Linked DNA regions of Ovis aries. The protein of the gene in region 2 interacts with the protein of the main gene of each other region in a pairwise test. Links are inferred from orthologs where the notes say so. Each region holds a gene or a part of one and is shown on either strand. Other genes may lie near its edges.

Evidence for each region.
Region 1: the proteins of LSM1 (region 2) and LSM4 interact in binary tests that used the Homo sapiens proteins (3 or more experiments, as listed by UniProt). The link is inferred for Ovis aries from reciprocal best matches to the Homo sapiens genes LSM1 and LSM4.

The regions. Positions count from the first base shown.
Region 1 is NC_056058.1:4,693,015-4,700,223, forward strand, and holds the end of LSM4 (U6 snRNA-associated Sm-like protein LSm4), read left to right. Parts: intron 1-2,385; coding exon 2,386-2,569; intron 2,570-4,384; coding exon 4,385-4,476; 3' UTR 4,477-5,020; downstream 5,021-7,209. UniProt on the Homo sapiens protein: Plays a role in pre-mRNA splicing as component of the U4/U6-U5 tri-snRNP complex that is involved in spliceosome assembly, and as component of the precatalytic spliceosome (spliceosome B complex).
Region 2 is NC_056079.1:32,439,912-32,446,075, forward strand, and holds the start of LSM1 (U6 snRNA-associated Sm-like protein LSm1), read right to left. Parts: upstream 4,785-6,164; 5' UTR 4,613-4,784; coding exon 4,567-4,612; intron 455-4,566; coding exon 386-454; intron 1-385. Other genes in the region: BAG4 (BAG family molecular chaperone regulator 4), read left to right, coding at 5,165-5,434. UniProt on the Homo sapiens protein: Plays a role in the degradation of histone mRNAs, the only eukaryotic mRNAs that are not polyadenylated. Probably also part of an LSm subunits-containing complex involved in the general process of mRNA degradation.

The DNA.
Region 1 (7,209 bases), on a different chromosome or scaffold from region 2:
GCCTTCCCACTTCCAGGTCCGGTACAAGCCCTCTGCCTGGACTTCTGGGAGGAGTGGGACAGCCCACACCTCAGCCTCTACTGCAGGTCATCCTGCCAGGGGCAGGGCTTTGTGGAGGGCCAGGGCCCGAGGCACCGGGCTGGATGTGGAGCTGGGCAGAGGCACAAGGCTCCAAGTCTCTGGTGCCCTGGACTTTGCACCTGTGGTTGCTGCCCAGCAGGCACTGAGCTGCTCCTCCACCCCCCAACCCCAACCCCACTCCTGACCAGGAAGGACTTGCGCCGTTCTCTACAGGAAGGGGGTGGCCTCCAGGGCAGACTCCCTCCACCTGCCTGCACTGGGTTCTGCTAGTTAGCGCTTTCCTTTCCCCTTGATTCCCGTCTCCATCACCTGCCCAAGGTAGCCCCCCATGTTACGGGGAAGAACCTGCTGGGAGGCCCGGGCTGTCTTGAGCCAAGGACAGGGTACCCCCAGGGCTCGCCCCGCCAGCATTCAGCAGAGCACGAGGCAGCCACTCTTGTCCTCGAAGACACACAGGGGAGGGGGGACCACCCCCCCTCCCCCTCAGCTGCTCAGCTCTGTGGCTTATTTCCTGGGACCAAACTCCAGGTGGCAGGTGGCTGGGGATTTCCATTGTGGCTGTAGCACATGGCGCCATGGTGCACAGCTGGGCACGTGTCCTTCTGCACACGGCCAACGGGTTCTGTCCACTTTGAGGACATGGAGCCAATCACTGGGTCTTGGGGCCAAGGTCAGTCCTGCCTCCACGGCCAAGCCTGGACACATGGCTCCCCCTGGAGGGTTCCCCTCAGGACCCAGCAGTTGGGAGGAGAAACTGGGTGTGAGGAACCAATCTGTGCAGCCATCAGGCCTCCTCACCTGTAAGCAGGTGACAGCAGCCCCTTCTCCCCGGGGGCAGCCGGATCCAGAGACCCCAGAGGCTGAGAGTATGCAGGAGAGCAAGCGTCTGGAGGCATGAGCTGCCCCCATGGAAAGCGTGTAAGCCTGGTTCCCCCAGGGAGTGCGCTGGGCTGGCCTGCCCTTGGCTGGGGAAATGCCTCACGCTGAAAGGCCGCCCCGGTCCCAGCCCTGAGCTTCCACAGAATCATCGTCCTGCCTGGCTGTACTCTGCATCCCCACAGACTTGGCTGCTCGCCTACCCTTTCTGGGAAAAGAATGCTCTGAGGCCTCTTGGGGCTCCTGTATGGGTCGGGGGCTCTTATGTATGTTCCTGGGAAGAGCTGGCCCTCAGATATTCCACTTGTCCCCGCCGAGCGCCTGCACTGGGCTGCGCCAAGTGGTCCAGGCACTGCTGATGTCATTCAGGAGGACTGGGGGCTTCAAGGAGGCTGTAAGCGAGGCCTGTTGAGGGCTGCAGTTAGCCAGACATGAACAGGAGGAAACAGCGTGTGCAAAATGCGGGAGGCCAGAAGCCCACTGCGTGTGTTCCAGAATGTTCCATCTGGAAGGCACATCGAATGCTGAGAGAGGGCAGCCAGAGTGGGGCTGGATCTCAGGCCCTCTGGAGCCACACTGAGAGAGTTGGACCTCATCCTTGGCCAACGGGGCCCTGATTGGGATCTAAGCAGGGAGATGTCTTGGTCTGATTTCTAGGGGTGTGGGGGAGGGGTTGGCTTGGGGCAGCAGGGGTGGGGCAGGAGAAGCAATCTGATGGATGAGATCCCGGGCTCCTGCCCAAGGGCAGCAGGAGGGTGGGGTGAGGCCTTGTGCTGGTCACAGGGTGTTTGAGAGTTGGGGGGAGACAGCATCCTGAAAACGTCAAGGTCGGTGTTGCTCAAGAGTCTACAGCTGTACAAGTCCCCTTGTCTCTCGAGCTTCCATTAGCTCCCCTGTAAACTGGCATCACTGGATGCTGCCCCGGCTGGCCCCAAACCTGCCTCCCCACCCTCTCCTGGCCCTCTTCACCCACCACCCAGGGTCTGTGTCCTGCTCACCTGTGTCCCATGGCCAGCTCAGACCCTGCCACGAGACACTTGTGTGAATGACTGAGTCACAGTGCGTGGAGCGGACTCCAGGAGAGCTCGGGGAGACGGGGAGCAGAAGGGGGAGGAGCTGAGCTGTGGCAGCACCTGGCCTGTGAGGCAGCCTCGCGCCTCTCCAGGCTTTGGATGGCATCCCCCACCAGAGGACAGGCTGAGGGCACAGGCTGCTCACGAGGCCCTGCCCTGCCCGCCCTCGTGTGTGAAGGGCTGCCAAGGGTCTGGAGAGAGCCTGCTGGAGGGCGGCCCTCCCACGTCCTGTGCAGAAGGAGGGGCCTCGTACCCTGCGGGGGCGACGCCAGGCACAGGGAGCCTGAGTGGATGGATGCTGCCCGGCTGCCTACACGTTCCTCCCCACGGCTCTGACACGTACCCCCTGTTGCAGGACGGGGACAAATTCTGGCGGATGCCCGAGTGCTACATCCGCGGCAGCACCATCAAGTACCTGCGCATCCCTGACGAGATCATCGACATGGTCAAGGAGGAGGTGGTGGCCAAGGGCCGTGGCCGCGGTGGCCTGCAGCAGCAGAAGCAGCAGAAGGGCCGCGGGATGGGGGGCGCCGGGCGAGGTAGGCCCTTCTCTCCGCCCTCTCCCCTGGCAGGCAGCCGGGGCCTCCCCGCTGGAGCGTGACTGCCGCGCGCGGCATCTGGCCTGGCCCAGTGCTGGCATTCTCCGCTGGTGGCGTCATGTTGCCGAGGGCCTGGCTCTGCGCCCCTCCTCCATGGCACTGGGGGGCTGTGACTCACGGGGCTCTTCTGTGGAACAGTTGGTGCTGCTGGTTGCCACCTGCATGCCCCGTGTCCCCCACCCCAGGAGCCCAGCTAAGCCCTAGTGGTCAGTGCTGGCCGCGCCCATCCTCACAACATGGGCCCTCCTCCCCGCAGTGGCTCTTGGTGCTCCCTCAGCTCCAGATGCCGCCCAGCAGACTAACCCAGCACCCACACAGACCTGGGACTTGAGCCCCACCTGTGTTTCCTGGCAGGTGCTCTGGGCACCTCGGGGAGGCTCAGATTCCCCCCTGCGGAGAAGATCCCCGTGGTGCCCAGCCTGGGACCCTTCCCTGCTGTGACTCCTTTAGACAAAACCAAGGTCACGCCTTTTGGGTAGATCACCCCGCACCACCCTGAAATCATAAATCTTGCATAAAACTAAACGTGCAGTCAGCTAGAGCCGCAGCCCAGAGGCCAGCTGTGGGCCCCACCCTCCCCCACCCGACTTCTGTCTCACCCACCTGGAGGGGCTTGTATGCCAGGTTCCAGGAACCCACCCTGGAGGCTTATATGCAGAGCCAGGAAAGACATAGGAGCCCCCCTGAGCTGAGGCTTGAGTGACAGAAAGGAGCCAGAGAGAAGAGGGCACCGCAGGTGGAGAAGAACCTAGGATGGGGGTGAGCAGGGCCCCAGAGGTCCCAGGACCTGCCCCCAGGGCTAGGCTGCCCACCCAGGGTGCCATCGCTGTCGAGTAAACTGCCTGAAGGAGCAGGGAGGACAGGGAGAGGCGCTTGCATAGGGGCCCCTGCATGACCAGGCTCCCCTTGCCCAAGCTGGGTCTTGCTCCATTAGAGATGAGGCTGGGCAGACCCTGTCAGCCCTGGCCCTGTCCCCTGTATGCGTGTGGAGGAAGGGGGCCCTGGAAGGCCAGGCTGCTGCTTCTGTGACTTCCTGGGCAGGGGCTGCACCCACCCTTGGGCTATTCACCTTCCCCAGCAGCAGTGCTGTGTGCTCCACGTAAAATGCCTTTCGGAAACAGCCCCACCTCTGGCTGCAGAGGTCAGAGCTCAGGAGGCTCCCCCGCCCCTTCTCTGGGCTGGACACACAGAGACCCCACCCCACCCCATTGTTTCAGCAAGGCAGGGTGGGGTCCCCCGGTGCAGCCCCAGTCACAGAGCTGAGCATCGTTGCTCCACCCCTGGGCTGAGTCCAGGCCTCATCCTAGCTTGTACTCCCAGCTCCTCCTGGAAACCCTTCTGATTTTGTCCTGCTGATGACTACCCACCCCCTCACCTTGGCCCTCAGCCCTCTCTTCCAGGAAGCATATCCCCCCCCCCGCCGCCGCCCCCGCAAGCCCCAGTGTGACTTGATGCCAACCTCTGTCCTTCTTGGCATCCTTCGCACCCCTGGGGCGCCTGGTCTGATATCCCTTGTCACACTGAGAATGTTGTGGAGCAATACCCCTGCCCAGCCCTGGTCAGACACTCCATCTCAGATTTTCAACCTGCTCTTCCCACCGACGGTACAGTCACTGCCCCCACTTTACAGAGGTGAAAGCTGAGGCTCAGAGGGGTTCAACGACTTGGCTATAGTCTAAGGGTTCCAGTTCCTGGTCCTTGCCCACAGTGACCCTCCCAGCCTGGCTCTACTGAACCCCCCCTCCTGTCTCACAGGTGTGTTCGGTGGCCGGGGCCGAGGTGGGATCCCTGGGACTGGCAGAGGTCAACCAGAAAAGAAGCCAGGCAGACAGGCGGGCAAACAGTGAGCCGCCCCTCCATTCCCGAGACTGAGCTGCCGCGCCGAGCACCTGCTCCCACCCTGAGGCTGCATTCCTGGTCTCCAGTTTATGACTGTTCAGAACAAAAAGAAGAGGCAGGGGTCGGGGAGGACCCCCTGCCTGTCCTCTGGTGGTCCTCCTCTTTTTTTGTTAGCCAGCAGTTCTATGGTTGGAAATGTTAATTCTGTGCTTCTGGTTTTGTGAAGCCGCAGCCAACTGGATTCCTGGAAGATTCTGTGTTTAATGCATCGTTAAAGCCCTCACTCTTGTTTTAAGGGCAGGCATTTTCCAAACAGGTTTGTTTTGCATTCTGTGTGGTAAACAGACGGGAGGTTTTTATTTTCAGCTGTTTGCACTGAGATTGATAGCCTGGAGGGTCTCCTGAAACACGGACCCTGAAACTGCCTTTTCGAAATGGATCCAGGCAAACGTATGCCTCAGAAGCTGTTCTGGGGGATGATGCTGGGCCCTATTCCGTCCCTTCTTCTCTCCCTCTTTGTCTTAGAAAAATAAAAACAAATACAACTACAAACTGCGAAATCCATAATTCCTTTGAACCACTGGGTGAATCTAGTTGTAGTGTCCTCAGGAAATCACAGCCCCCACGCAAGAAGTTTCCTTTTGCCCCCTGTGGCCTCTCACCAAGGGGAAGCATTTCAATGGGACACTGGTTCCCATGACCCTCAGCAGCCTCTTACAAAAGGTGGAAGGCAAAATGGGGGTCTGGGCAGTAGGGGAGCCCCTTCCCCTCTGTGGGGCGGTGGGGGAGGGAAGTTGTGGGTGGGAGCCAGTGGGACACCCACACTGCCTGTCCTCAGCCTCCATCTCTGTTGTGCAAGCACTGTTCACAGCAGAGCTCCCTGAGAAGCCGTGACATGGAGCTGCCTCCAGGAACACATGAGGAAGGCTTTTCACGAACTGTTTACCTCCTCTTAGGGTCGGGGCACTTGCCTGTCCGCGACTCAGCGATTTGCCTGAGACGCTGAGCCAGCACTTGTGCGGAACACTTCCGGCGATGTGGTCCTTTGACCGATATTCCTGGACAGCCTGGTGTTAAGAGGCTGGTTCCTATGGATGTGAGGTCTACCTGGCCTGAGGTCTACTTGTCACCGATACCATGTTGAGACCGGTTCTGAAGGGTGATTGGAAGAAAAGATGGTGGTGCCTGTAGAGCTCCACTTAGGTCTGCCAAGTACTGGCCTAGCTATGGCAAAGCCTCTCTTAAGTTTTCTCAGTCTCATCCTATCTGGAGAGTGCTGTTCCCTGCCACTTCCTCATCATTGCTTCTCTCCATTTGCACCCCGCCCAGGACCTGCTGCTGCCTGAGTCCTTGTTTTGGCATAGGTTGGGGACAGCGGTGCGGGGTCTGAATGTGACCTGGGCCCTGGGAACCCACCTCCCTCAGAGACGTGGGCGGTGCCAGGCCAGGCTGGTAGGAAGACAAAAAAGAATGGCGGGGAGGGAGGGCCTGTGTTCACCCCATAGCCCTGGACACAGAATCCCATAATGGCCTTTGGGGGCCTTGGTCTGAAGTCTGGGTTTCCCACTTTGCAAGGGCGTGATGTCTGGTGAGGCTTTGATGAAAGCCGGGGGCTCTGCCTCGGGTGTCCTGCACGGCTGTGAACGAGAAACCCTTTAGAAGCCCCGCCCCTTCCTGCCGTTCGCGGTTTGGTTTTTCTTCCTTAGCTCTGGACCAAGAACATGTACAGACGTTCCCAAGGGCCTCTTCGCCGCTCAAGGTCTTGGGTCTCCGACGCGCCCCGTCTCCACACAGGGGCGCATCCCCGGCGGCGTGCGTAATCGCGGCTTCCTGCCCGCGCCGCCAGCCGCCCCTGACCTTTCCAGCCGGGCAGCCCCGGCTCCCGGCCCAGTTCTCTCCGAGCCCGCTGGTGACGTGAGCCGCCTCCCCAGCACTGGCCGCTTAGGTGCCAAGGGGCTTCCGGAAGCCTCCGTCCTCCTGAGCTGGGTGTCAGGACAGCCCGGTTTTCCAGTTCTTCTTCCTGGTTGGTTTCAAGAAACCAGCCTCAACGCCCTGAACAAGAAGAGAAACCAAAAGTGCCGGGCTGGTTCCCACAAGCCGGCCTCCTTCTTTCTGCCCTCCTGATGGTCTGTCTCCGGGGGCTAGCGCCCCCACCATCTGACTGCTGCATGACCCGCAGCCTGCGGGCTACCTTAAGTGTAGGTGGTGAAGTGTAGGTGTTTCCCGCGGGCCGTCCTCCCTTTGGAGTTTGTTCCAGCTGTCAGGCCAGGGAGGCCCACACACCCAGGTGTGACTCAGCCTGGGGCCTGCCTGGATTGCCCTGTTGCTTCAACCTGGGGCCATGAGTCCATTTCAGGGAGCTGGATCCAGTGGGCAGCCGTAAGCAGCAGCCCCCAGGTAGTGGTGGGCAGGAGGGCGACTCTTGCCTTCCTGTCCTGCACACCCCTCAGCACTGACTCCTCCTCCACTGGCCTCACCGGCTGCTCCACCAGCACCTCCCCTGGAAGCCCTGCCCCAGCCTGCTGCCTCCCACTTCCTCAGGCAGGCTTGATGGCAGGTGCCCTCCCCAGCCATTCAGCTGGGCCCTGGGGTCTGCGTGTCCCGGCCTGTGTGTCCCTACCTGCCATCACTGTCTCAGTGTTCTCTGAGAGCCCTCCGTGGACAAGGCTGTTTGGTCTGTGGGAGGTACGGGAGGTGGTCTGATGTCCACTCAGACAGTCTCAATGGGGGCAGCTGTTCGC
Region 2 (6,164 bases):
CAAGCCAATGTACAAATGAGCAGCCTTTTCAGTGGACTGAGTGTATTTCTATCATCTGGCTCCCTCTAATGGGGAAAATAAAAAACAGTCCAAAACATTGTAACGACATGTTCTAATAGTGAAAACCAGTTTTAGAAATAAAATATAAGCTTGTAAACACAAGCTTTCAAACCACCTAATTGTAATTTAGAAAACAATGATGTAGTGACTTAAAACAGTATTTCATCATGCCAGGTACGTGAAAAAAGTTGCAGATAAATAAACTTCAATACGAAACAACATAAAAATACAGTGGGCAGCTCTTATCATCCAGAGTGTGGGATGATAAAAGCCACCATGGCTCTTATCACCACGGACTCATGATAAGTCCATGAGTAATACATACCAAATTGATCAATGCTTCTCAAAAATCCTATGAGTGTCCTTCCATCTCGAAGCAGGACCAAGTGCTTTTCTGGGGAGAGGAAAAGAGATCTTTAAAAAATGAACCGTTAGCTTCAGCGAGTTTACAGGGAAACAAAAACAGAGTTAATAGCAGATTAAGCTTTAGCATTTCCTCTTATAGAGCATTTAATGCATTTAACGCAGTTCATTGAGAAACTAGAGGGATGGCCAAGGCAGCTGGGGATTAGTTTAGATGAGAAGATGGGTGGTGAAAAGAATCTAAGAGGGGCAGCAGAGCGGGGAGGGACTGGGCACACAGTCAGGGGGCCCAACGGACTGGCTCCAGACGCCAGTGCTCGACAGTTAAACCCTGTCAGCATCATGTCAGTTTCTATACCTGCCAATCTGGACATTTGCTCTAGATGGTCTTTATGATCTTCATTTTCCAAAATTATTTTCTCCTCAACTTAGAGTTTCTATTTCACACTTTGGAATCAGAGATGGTTTTAAATAAAAACAGTACCAAAGACATGTAAAATGAGGATGCTGAGAATAAAACCAGAGCAAAAATTCAACAGAATGCATTGAGGGCTATGTGCTGTTCTGGGGCCTAGATATATAGTAGAGAATAAGACTCAGAGTCACCAACCTCATGAACTTATAAGCCTGGTGGAGAAAAGCAAACATATTTTAAAAAATGACCTATGGTGATTAGTCTAGCAGAATAAAAATAAGACAGCAGGATAATATAAGAAAGGGAGGGGAAGAAACTATAGAAGAGAGTTTGCTGGGGACTTCCCGGGTAGTCCAGGGGCTAAGACTCCACACTCCCAATGTAGGGGGCCCAGGGACAAGATCTCATACGCTACAACTAAGAGTGTGCATGCTGCGACTAAAGATACCATGTGCTGCAACTAAGACCCAGTATAGCCGAGTAAATAAACAAACACAGGGGGAGGAAAAAAAAAAGAAGGTGGCTAAGGAAAACCTCTCTGAAGAGGTGACTCTGAGCCGACACTGAGGAATGACAGTAAGCCAGTCACTAGAATAGCTAGCAGACTGAGCTACAAGGGAAGCCCAGCACAGCCAGCGAAAATCACTTATTCGTCTTTAATGCCATGCATAAAGTACTTTCTACATGCAGACCGTGGACCATAAAGAAGGCTGAGCACCAAAGAACTGATGCAAGACTCTTAAGGGTCCCTTAGGCAGCAAGGAGATCAAACCAGTCAATTCTAAAGGAAATCAACCCTGAATATTCATTGGAAGGACTGATGCTGAAGCTCCGCTACTTTGGCCACCTGATGCAAAGAGCCGACTCAATGGAAAAGACCCTGATGCTGGGAAAGACTGAGGGCAACAGGAGAAGGGGGCAAGAGAGGATGAGACGGTTGGATGGCATCATCAACACAATGAACATGAGTTTGAGCAAACTCTGGGAGACAGTGAAAGACAGGGAAGCCTGGTGTGTTAAAGTCCATGGGGTTGTAAAGAGTTGGACACCACTGAGCAACTGAACAACAAGATGCAGAACAGTGCAACAAGACAGTGATTCTTTCCTGAAGGAATTTAAAGGCTTTTTTTTGCTATAATTAAGTACCACAAGAGGGCAAATCTTAATTACATGAGAGTGAGAGAAACTGTATCTAGCTGGAGATATGAGTTGGACTTTAAGGTGAAAGTGAAGTTGCTCAGTTGTGTCCGACTCTTGGCAACCCCACGGACTATAGCCTACCAGGCTCCTCTGCCCATGGGATTTTCCAGGCAAGAGTACTGGAGTGGGTTGCCATTGCCTTCTCCAATGGACCTTAAAAGGGGTAGATAATTTTTGGCCATGGGAAGAGTGACAGGGACTGGAAGGGGGAAATCTGTAATTTAGGCAGAAGAAAAGGGAGCTGTGTATCCGGATGTGTGGCTAAAAGTTGAGGGTGTGAAGGGAATAGGAGATGAAGTCAGAAAAGTACTGGGAGCAGGCTGAGTTTGGATGTGCCTTCATGGGGAACAAGACAACTCTGAAGATTCAACTGGTTGAAAAAGAGAGAATGGTTTTGAGGCTATTACCAGAGTCTAAGACATGAAGAAGAGACCTGAAGCAGGGCAGAGATGGGACGGGAGAGGCTGAGAGGATCAAGACACTGCAGTTATAAGGGATGGAATCGGTCAACCAAGTGTGTTTGTATATGTGGATATGTGTGTGAGAGAGTGGGAAGCTGAAGAGATGGGTTAAAGATGATGCAGGAATTTTGAGTCATCTTGTCAGGGAGGACTATGTACCAAAAGTTAGGAGTGAAAGAAGCAAGATCCCATGAAAGGTGTTTTGCTGTTGTGATTCTCAAGTGGTATCAAGACACCTGTGCAGAAACGTCAGCTGGCAACTGGAGATCTAAGACTGGAAGGCCAAAGAGCAATTTTTGATATGCCCACAAAGAGGTGATATCATTATTAAAGTCCAGGAACTCTCCTAGAGATTTAAAGAAAGCAGCAGCCAAAGATGGAACCTAGGGGTCCATTTATTTTAGGGAACAATAACTGTTGCAGAGATAAGAAAATCAAGGACCAGTGTTGGAAAAATCAAGAAAATGAAGAATCCTATGATGATGGCATCACAGCGCCAAAAAGGGGAAGGAATGCATTAGACAGATGTCTTTTAAGATTGCAGTTTCAGTAGTGTGTTGACAAAAAAATCTGATTGTAGGGTGACAGAGGTGGTCTACTCCAGGTAGCCAGGAAATAGTTAAAATGGGAGATGATTTAAGAGGTTTGGGGGTACAGATGTGAAAAAAGGAATGGGAATTTGATGGTGAAATATAACTGAAAAAAAATACGACAGACAAGAACATACATGAAGGGGAGCAAGAAATATGAGAGAAAAAGGGTATTAATGGATTCCAGAAGCAGCTGGAAGGAAAAATAAATAAGACACAGACTGAAAGGGAGGAATACTTCCAACTGAGATGACAGGATGGGTGAAAATACAGGAAGACTGAGGAGAGAGGAGGAAAGTGTGTGTGTGTGTGTTGCACTGAAGGCTGCGTATGAAATGATTTGAAACCATTCAGTAGAGGAGGAGCTTGGAATCTGCAAAATGGGGTTAGAGACTTGAGAAAAACAATTATTTTTGTTAGAATGGCAGGATGTGCTAGGGATCTCAAATAACTCAGATACATAACTAGAGAGGTGAGGGCACCATCCTCAAGACAACTAGAATTAAAGATTTCATTACATGTTACAGACAGGCCTGTACAGTGGTTATTCACACATGAATTTGATCCAAGCTACACTACATTCCCTTCAGTAGCAAAATCACTAATTTGGATCTGAAGAGTGATTTCAGAGAATAGGAAGAGGATTTCATCACAAATTCACTCTTTACATACACAGTAACTGCAGAAAATTGCTGAACTTGTTTGGAACTGTGTGGTAAATGTTTCACAGCAATTACAAGTTAATGAGACAGATCACACAATTGGCACAACTTTAAAAAGTGTTGTTTTAGGAGTAATTCACAGATGAGAGTTTGGAAAAACAAAAGACATCTGATACAACCGAGCTCTTCTTCAGGATAGTGACTTGGAATAAGGGAGGTCTTAACAGCAAGAGAAAACTAACAGAGGAAAAAAAGTAAATTTGAAGTGACTCAGTCTTTCTGGAAAAGTCACTACCTAGTCTGAAAAGCTAAATACTCTCAAACGGTTAAAAGACTGCAAACGGCCACACAGTATAAACCCTACGTTTAGTGCTAATTAAGTCCAACTGCTGTTGTATTACTATTTTCGTTTCTGCAAGAACCCTTTTTCTGAGAATTCTCATTCATCCACCCAGTAACCACCTGGTACTTCGAAATACCACAGGTGGGAGACGATGGACCGGGGAAACGGTAACCTTCACATGTGCGCTTCAGCAGCCGCAACTCTGAAAAGCAGAAATGAATTCTACAGCTTGCCCGGTAGATACGGTGGAAGCTGCGAGAGGCGGGATACAGGCAGGAGGGGATAAAGTGGCAAACGGTGTGTCCCGTGACTCCCGCATCCTGCGAGGATGCCAACGCCGGAAGTCCAGAACTGGACTAAATACACACCGCCCCCGGCCCGGACTCATTCTATCAGCTTCCTCCTTAAGAGGTACCCTCCTGGGAGGAAGAGTTTCACCCTAGACTTCACTCTGAGGAGATGAACTACTCACTGTCGATGTCCTCGATGAGGCTGGCGGTGCCAGGCATATAGTTCATTTTGAGTCGAGACAGAGCTGCAGCGTATAGCGGCGGTGGGCCAGCGCGTCCCACACCTCCTTCCTCCCACCGCGGCCGCCGCCTTTGCGGGACCGGGACAGGAACCGGACCCGGACAAACGCCGCCGCCCCGGCTTTCAGTAGCCGGGGCCTGCCGGAAACGCCGCCATGTTACCCCACCCACTTCCGGCACCACGTCCCCGCCCTCAGGAAGAGGCGGGACAGTTCGTGTGGTTTCCCCCGCCCCAGGATATCCTTTACATATCCCTGACGAGAAGGGGAAGAGGAGTCTAGGCTGCACGGACAGTGCGGAGGTGCGTTCTCCCTTTTAAGGAACGCTCGTTCTCCTGCTTCTTAGACCCCAGAGTCACGGACAGCCGCCCTCGTCCTCTTAGGACGCGGAAGTGAAGGGGGGTGGGATCCTGCCTAGCATTGGCTGTTGCAGGCCGACCCCCTTTCCCTGTGGTCCATTCACGCTCCCCCGTCGGCGCCTGCGCGGTGGGCCGGCCGTGAGGGGCGGGGGGCCGGGAAGCGCCTGGGGGCGGCAGAGCCCATGTCGGCCTTGAGGCGCTCGGGCTACGGCCCCAGTGACGGCCCGTCTTATGGCCGCTACTACGGGCCTGGGGGTGGAGATGTGCCGGTGCACCCGCCTCCGCCCATCTACCCCCCGCGCCCCGAGCCTCCCCAACCTCCCATTTCCTGGCGGGGACGCGGGGGCGGCCCGGCGGAGACCACCTGGCCGGGGGAAGGCGGAGGAGGCGATGGCTACTACGCGTCTGGAGGCGCCTGGTCAGAGCCGGGTCGTGCTGGTGGAGGCCACCAGGTGAGCTTTGCGCCACCGGTCCCCAGGGTGGAGTGGGGGGGTCCGATAGGGGAATCTTTGGGGGTGAGGGCCATTGGGATTGATACAGCTCCCAAGAGTTCGTAATGAATTGGGTTTCGTGCGTTTTCCTAATACGGCTTTGGAGAGACAAGAGACTAGGATCGTCGGTGGGGGTATATGCTTGTGTTTTCTTTGCCCCTCCTCTTGCGCTTCAGCCGTAATAAATATCTTCTTACCAGGAAAAACATCCTGCGCTGAACCTGCTGAGTAGCAGGCTGCGAATCTCTCGTCTTGGGGACGAGGTTGGGCTGGAGTGACCTGGCTTTGCTTTTCCAGTCCTCACAATTTATCCTGCGTGGTTCGTGGGGGCCGCCTCTCTCCGAGGAGGGATGTGGCTGCAGCCCCCTCCCGCTGGGAAGGAACGCCAAGGAAAGGGAGGGATCTGGGCATTTAGCCCTTTGCCCCTAAAGCATTGCCCGGTATTGAATCACCGATCATCATCAGTGTTGGAAAGCACCTGTCCGTGGGTTGTATGTAATCTTAACGGTGACTGCAACGTAGATGTCATCACAGCGTCCCTGTTTTACGGTGGAAGAACTGCTGACAGTGAAAGGTTAACTCACTTGCTCAATATATTCAGACCTCTGACATTTTATTCTGTGTCGTCGTGCCGGAAATATACTTCTGTTTGTTAATGCAATATTCTTCATAGAGGATTACGGTTCTATGG